Daphnia pulex: one gene and its partner. The protein of the gene in region 1 binds, or shares a complex with, the protein of each later gene. Links are inferred from orthologs where the notes say so. Each region holds a gene or a part of one and is shown on either strand. Other genes may lie near its edges.

Region 1 (3,033 bases):
ATGCTACTGTTACTGAAAATTGGAAGCAAAGAAGGCACACTCATCCATTCATCTCTCTCAAGAGGAGCAGATGAAGCGGGTTCTGTTGTTTCAGATGTTTTCTCTACCCATTCATCAGAATCAGAGGAATTGTCTTTTTTCTTGCTTTTTTTATGTTTCTTATCCTTTTTATGTTTTTTTTCTTTTTTACTTTTTTTGGATTTACCGGACAATTGAGCATCCAACTCAGGCAGCATCCATTTGTCTTCACCATTTAATTTGGCCAATTCTTTTTTAGCTTTCCTTTTCTCATAATCTCTTTCTGCCTAAAACAAAAGAAAAATAAACTAAACCAAATGTATACCAGTAAAATACTATTAAATCAAATTGGTGAAATGTGATGGTGTATTACCTTCGCAAGAATTGCCTCTCTCGCTTCTCGTTTCATTTGTCTCATTTCATCTAAGTCTTTAGAATTTTCAAAATTTATCGACATTTCAAAGGATTATTTCTATGGGCTAAAACTTGAAAAAGAAAACTAGAAAAGCAACACAAATTATTTTCAATCAAATTTACAAAAACGAAAACATTCGTTTTGACGTCTGTCGTTTTGAAGCGAAAACAAGCATTGCCAATTTGTTCAACCAGAGTCATCCGGTTCAACTTTTAATTTTTTTTACAAGCATATAATAAATTTTAAAAACGTTAATAAAAACGTTAATTAAAATTATCAATTGTAGTAAAAATTGTAAAAAGATGCCATTTAATTCAATATTGATATCAAATGTTTCCAACTCGTCAACATCGGATTGCGAAAACTAGTTTTCCCGCCATCTATAAAGAAAAGAAAACAGTGGATAGACGCAGTACAAGTTACAACGTCTGCATACCTGATTGAAGTGATTCACGTGCATTACGTTTTGTTTTGAGAACGACAAATTTAAACGAATAATTGAATTAATCTATAATGTGGGATCAATCAGCAAGTAATAAATACAATTTTGTCAAGCTTTGTGTTATTAACTTTACATTCTTTCCATTACAGGCGATTTTGGAAATGGAACAATGGCCGGTGGTTTCTTTAATGCTGGAACTCCAGGAGGCACAGTTAATACTCCTGGAGAAAAGAAGGTTTGAAGACATTTTTAATATCTCATAGACATTTTCTCATGTTTGTTTCATTCACAGGGTGGAGCTCAACGGGCTCATAATATCATTCCAGTTAATATCAAAGATATATTGGATGAAATTGATGAAAAACTAAAGATAGAAGATACTGAAGCCCACATGGTATCCATATTTATCTTCACTTTGAGTTACATTTACTTATGATTTACAACTTATCTCTTTTAGGTTACATTTGTAGGTACTGTCGAACAGATTGAATCCAAACAGACTAATGTTTCGTACACTGTAAGGGATGATACAGGTTCTATTGAAGTTGTTCAGTGGATTGAGGGTGAAGGGGTATGTATTGTGTTCTGCATATGTTTTCACTCATTATTTATTCCAATTTATTTTTGCAGAATGTCCAATCACCTTTTCAAGTTGTGGAAGGGAATTTTTGTCGAGTTGTTGGATCTATTAGACAGACACAGGATCGCCGTCACGTAATGGCATTTCGTGTTGCGAAACTAACAACTGCTAACGAAATAACAACCCACTTGCTAGAGACGCAATGGGTTCGTATGAAGTTGAGACAGATGAAGAGAAAAATGGTAATGAACAACTCAAATGAATGCTTGAACAAAGGTAAATGATTTTTATTTATAAAGGGAGAAGGAACAGGACAATCAATGAATAACTCAGTGATGGGTGGTGGAATGACTGGGCCTTTAGCTTCTTCATCCTCAGCTACTTCCAATGTGGCAAACGGTATCATGTCAGGACTGTCATCTTTTCAATCTATGGTTTATACCATCATTCAGGTAGATTCATTTGTCATCTATGTGATCAAATTCAAACAATAAAAAACCATGTTATTTTTAGGCAACAACAGCGGAAACCGGCATGGAAAAGTCGCAGATCTACAATTCTGTCAGAGGAAGAATGATCCCACGTGATGTAGAGTAAGTGTATTGATGTGGAAGACAAACATGTTTTCATTGATTTTAATTTAAATTTTTTATTAGTGCTGCTTTGGAATTCCTTTGTTCTGAGGGACATATTTACTCTACGGTGGACGAAGACCATTTCAAATCGACCGATAGCTAAACAAGATTAAGATGTACTGTACCTTCATTCTCATTAAATATCTACTAGAATAGATACATTATACTCAAAACTGTGTCGACTCAGTCTGCGGAATTTATCCTGAAGCTATTAATTCCAACTGTTTTGAAATGGTTCAGTTCTGTCTGTCTTTCAACATAAAAGCTTAAATCGTCTAAAATCCATCGGATCTACATCGGATAATTCATTTTCAGTATATTCAAATATCAGGTACATAATGACCACGGATAACTGGATCATGTCTAATTGCTATGGCAAGTGTTTGTGATGCATTCGAAGTAAAATGTTATTTACATCATAGAATGAAGACGTAAATGTTAGGTATCAGGCAAATTTACTTCTATTATTGGTGATAATCTTCTTGGAAGTTCCCACAGTAATATCCCGTTTCGTTGCCTACGAATAACCGTAGCGCCATCGGTTTCATCACTTGGTTGGAGTGCCGCTTTACTATGATAACATTATTGATTCAAAAATTAAAGCTAAACTCGCTAACATGTAGAAAATGTTTTGCTAAAGTTATCTTACTTTAATAGACGGTTATGATTTACTCGGTAAAGTAACTTGGGATTTAGTTTTGCAGGATCTTGCGGCTCAGACAAAATGCTTCCAATGGTACCAATGATTAAGACGATCACCACGCTCAATACCGTGTACCACAAATACGAAATCCGTAAGAGCACAAATGCATCCGCTCTAGAATGGAATGAAATATCGCGTTAAGTTTCAAATTATTATCTAGAAACGGACTCATACTTTTGAATAAAAAAATGAACGGAAGGTGACCCAACGTCTGTTGAATTGAACGACGGGCAGTTATCT
Region 2 (3,762 bases), on another chromosome or scaffold:
TTATCTTTACTGAGTCCAGCTTTGCTCAAAATATCCAGCTTGTTCTGCACAAGGGGCCAAAGATAATCGTCGGCAGTTTCTCTTGCTACTAGATATTGGACTACGACGCTATCCCGTTGACCAATACGATGAGCGCGATCTTCAGCTTGAGTTAAGACCTGTATGAAATCAATAACGGCTTACGTAAAATTCTGAATTCTTTCTAATATTTTTTTTAGCATACACCGGGATTCCAAAACAGTTCAGCAAAAACGACTAGATTGGCTGACGTCAAAGTTAATCCAGTGTTTGCAGCTGTGATCGATAGCACAGCGACCCGAACACTTTCCTTATTTTGAAAAACATCACATAACTTCTTCCGCTCGTCCGAAGAGACCGATCCATCAATCCGAATGTAACTTTAAAATAACGTTAATTAAAATTTATAAAATTCAATTATAAGGTCTATTACCCTGCTTTAGATTTTTCTTCAATGCACCGACTAATGTCATTTAACAAGCATTGATGATGAGCAAAACAGAGGAATTTCTTGCCATTCTCCAATAAGTCTGCAATATAGTCGCTGGAAAAGACAGATGGGAAAGACAGGAAAATAAGTATAATTTTGTTTAAATGTAGCTACATTTCTAAAAATTACCACACAGCTTTGCTTTTGGCTTTTGCCGTTTCGGAATAGTAAGATAGTAGAACACCCCGTTTTTCCATTGGTTTGGAATGTTCCTTTGTCATGTTTTTAGCCAACGTATCCATTGAGGGCGAATGACATTTGACAGCATTAGGATCAAGGACAACCATTTGCCTAAAATGAAAAATTGATAATTAATTACTCATCATTTTATCATTGTTGCTATTTATTACCTTTGTTTTGCTGGCAGCTGTGAAAGAACCTCACTTTTAAGACGTCTTATCAAATATTTCTCTTCAAGGATTAGTTGTAACTCGTTCATATTGGTTGCTCCACCATAATTCCATCCGAATTTTGTTTTTTTGGCTTCACAATAACGTAATCCGAAAGCATGGAAGTGTCTAACCATCATTATAGCAAATTGTGTTGACTACAGTTCAAACTCCTGAATTTGAATAAATGGCAAAGTTCCTTACCCAAACGGTTTCCTCTCTAAAATCTGTAGCTGGCTATACAGTTCCTCAGGGCGAGATAATGCCGGAGTCCCAGATAGAAGAATCACCCTCTTTGCTTCAGCACTTACAGAGTTTGCAGCGGTAGTTCGTTTTGATTTTCCGCCTATTATTAAAACTTGGTAGTTAAAAAAAAAAACTCTCAAACAAAAATTTAAAAAATAAAATGATAATACTTTTTACGAGGTGGCTTTCATCAAATATAATGGTTTTGAAGTTCATTGCTACTAGTTCGTCTAGTTTCTTTGTAAGCAAGTCGTATGAGCAAATTGTTACTGAAACTTCTTTGTCGATGTAATCCTTTCCTGAGCAAATAACCTTTTAAAAAGTAATGTTGATCTAATGAACATTTCATTTTTTTTTGTCTTTTCACATACTTGTATATGATGTAATGGGACACTTGGTAACCATACTTTAACTGCTTCATCCCAGGCAAATTTCATTGAAGATGGTGTTAAAATGAGCAAAGGCCAATCAGCAAGATAATAATGTGCAAGACCTAATGCCTGCAGAGTTTTCCCCAAGCCTAGAAAAGGAAGACATAAGGAAATTAAATACAATAAAAAGGAAGAAACTTAGCTAATGATTAATTTAAAAGAATACCCATGTCATCAGCAATTAGGATCCTTCCTTGCAAATGAATTCCATAGCAAATGCCCTGTTTTTGGAATGGAAGTAGAGACTCGTACAATTTTGGGTCTATGCTGCTTATATCAACTTCAGGTATCGTTTTTTCAAATGGGGCATTACTGTAAATTAAAAGGGAAATCCTGATTACACCTTTTATTTGAAAAGTATATGGATGCAATCTTTTTACCTAAAAATATCCAAAACAAACTTTGGCAATGGCTGAAATTGAAATCTTGTTAGCAATGGATCAAGGCTCTCCAGCAACTTTTGATGATCAGAAAGGGGAAAAGTCCATCTTCTAAGAACTCCATCATAACTTTTTGTGGGGAACTTTTTAAATATCTCTATCATTTCATTGTCAAATGGTGCATCAACACAAAATTTTCTTCTTGAGATCAACTGAAATGTTGCCGTAGGTCTTGAAGAACTGGCTGATGAACCGGAGTTAGCATTCTTTGGTGGAAATTTACTAGAAGAACCTGGAGAGTTCCAAGTGGATTTCCCCCCCGAATATTGAGGTCTTGAATAAAACGAAGAAGCACCTGAAGGACTTATTCCAACTGATGGGTTAATTGCAGGGGTAGGAGGTCTTAAAACAGCTGAACTCCCAGCAGAAAAATTGCTTCTATTGTTGTTTGTAACTACTTGATTCGTTTCGGTTTGTTTTGCAGCAGCACGTTTTTCAATAGCCTTACGACGGTTTTCTTCCATCAACTTTATTTGATCGGGCGTAAGAGGCATCTTTAGTTAGGTTTAATAAATATATCAAAGAAATAGAATTCTTATAAATGTGTTATTCTATAACCATCTAACTATGCAAATACACGTGCTAATCGGTCCACTAGAACTAAATCTCTAACATCAAAGGGAGTGAGGACTTTGAAAAAACACCTAATTACCATAACAGAACGTTGCCAGTTTCTTACGTCTCTTGTGCGCAATCTTTACAAACCAAGTCCAAGCGGCCAAAAACGCAACTTCTTTATGTCAACGTCAGCAACCATGGCTTCGTCTGCTGCCAATGTAAGTTAAAAACAATTTTTAATCAAATTCATTTATTTAAAAACAATTTAAAATGTATATTATTTGTCATGTAAGGCCGCGTTAATTGACGATGACACGCCTGGATTTGGAGAGGAAGAAAATCCGAAACAGTTCCGGTAAGTTTAATCCTATCTTGATGTTGACGTTTCAGGTTTCAGAAAAAATAATACTCATTAAATTTATTAATGACTCACTATCTTTTACTTAAATAGGCATCCTTATGTAGTTCTTTTCCACTTTGGCTTCAGAGCAGCTGCTCTCCTTGTTTACCTTTTCTGTGGCTGGTTCTCAGATGGATTTGTTACTAGTTTTGTTTTCACAGTTATCCTACTCTCTCTAGACTTCTGGACTGTAAAAAATATTACAGGTATTTCACCATATGAATGTATTATTGAATATTACTCAATTATGAACATCATTTGCAGGAAGGATCTTGGTAGGGCTCAGGTGGTGGAGTTACGTTGATGGTGAAGGCAAGAGTCACTGGGTCTATGAGGCACGAAAGGTATACCATGATGAAAAAATAATTTTTTACATTTTTTCAAATACATTTTTTCTGTTTTTTTTAGGAAGGTGATGTACGAAAAGTGCATGCTGCCGAATCTAGAGTATTTTGGATAGGTTTAATTGTTTTCCCTCTAGTATGGTCCATCCTCTTCATTCTTGCTATATTCAGATTCAGCTTTCGTTGGCTAGTTTTAGATTGTATTGCTCTTTCTCTGAATGGAGCTAATGTGTATGGGTATCTGCGATGTAAGTTAGGCAAAGGCACAAACCTAACTGGGGCCGTTTCGAATTACGCCAACGGATTCTTTCGTCAGCAAGTTATGGATAAGGTAAACCAAATTCTTGTCGTACATTGGATAAAACAAACTAAATTATCTTTCTCCTTTAGGCGGTTAACATGTTGACCCGACAAGCGCAAACTTCAAACGTCAATTCTGCAACCAA

What was found.
Region 2: the proteins of replication protein A 32 kDa subunit-like (region 1) and SWI/SNF-related matrix-associated actin-dependent regulator of chromatin subfamily A-like protein 1 are in contact, whole or in part, in a crystal structure (PDB 4MQV), measured with the Homo sapiens proteins. The link is inferred for Daphnia pulex from reciprocal best matches to the Homo sapiens genes RPA2 and SMARCAL1. Residues at the interface, in NP_002937.1 of Homo sapiens: Pro222, Glu223, Ser250, Asn251, Glu252, Gly253, His254, Ile255, Tyr256, Ser257, Thr258, Val259, Asp260, Ser266, Thr267; in NP_001120679.1 of Homo sapiens: Leu5, Gln9, Lys12, Ile13, Asn16, Arg17, Ala20, Leu21, Arg23, Arg24, Lys27.

What each region holds. Positions count from the first base shown.
Region 1 is NC_060017.1:2,574,086-2,577,118, forward strand, and holds replication protein A 32 kDa subunit-like, read left to right. Parts: upstream 1-803; 5' UTR 804-946; coding exon 947-965; intron 966-1,024; coding exon 1,025-1,110; intron 1,111-1,167; coding exon 1,168-1,269; intron 1,270-1,332; coding exon 1,333-1,446; intron 1,447-1,505; coding exon 1,506-1,697; intron 1,698-1,754; coding exon 1,755-1,907; intron 1,908-1,968; coding exon 1,969-2,048; intron 2,049-2,111; coding exon 2,112-2,193; 3' UTR 2,194-2,371; downstream 2,372-3,033. Other genes in the region: CWF19-like protein 2, read right to left, coding at 1-305, 392-475; sodium-coupled monocarboxylate transporter 1-like, read right to left, coding at 2,529-2,661, 2,740-2,907, 2,968-3,033. UniProt on the Homo sapiens protein: As part of the heterotrimeric replication protein A complex (RPA/RP-A), binds and stabilizes single-stranded DNA intermediates that form during DNA replication or upon DNA stress.
Region 2 is NC_060018.1:6,033,125-6,036,886, reverse strand, and holds the start of SWI/SNF-related matrix-associated actin-dependent regulator of chromatin subfamily A-like protein 1, read right to left. Parts: upstream 2,706-3,762; 5' UTR 2,509-2,705; coding exon 1,955-2,508; intron 1,887-1,954; coding exon 1,741-1,886; intron 1,664-1,740; coding exon 1,515-1,663; intron 1,456-1,514; coding exon 1,314-1,455; intron 1,244-1,313; coding exon 1,102-1,243; intron 1,027-1,101; coding exon 859-1,026; intron 800-858; coding exon 638-799; intron 563-637; coding exon 452-562; intron 399-451; coding exon 224-398; intron 159-223; coding exon 1-158. Other genes in the region: uncharacterized Golgi apparatus membrane protein-like protein CG5021, read left to right, coding at 2,752-2,790, 2,866-2,927, 3,024-3,178, 3,237-3,316, 3,381-3,647, 3,707-3,762. UniProt on the Homo sapiens protein: ATP-dependent annealing helicase that binds selectively to fork DNA relative to ssDNA or dsDNA and catalyzes the rewinding of the stably unwound DNA. Rewinds single-stranded DNA bubbles that are stably bound by replication protein A (RPA).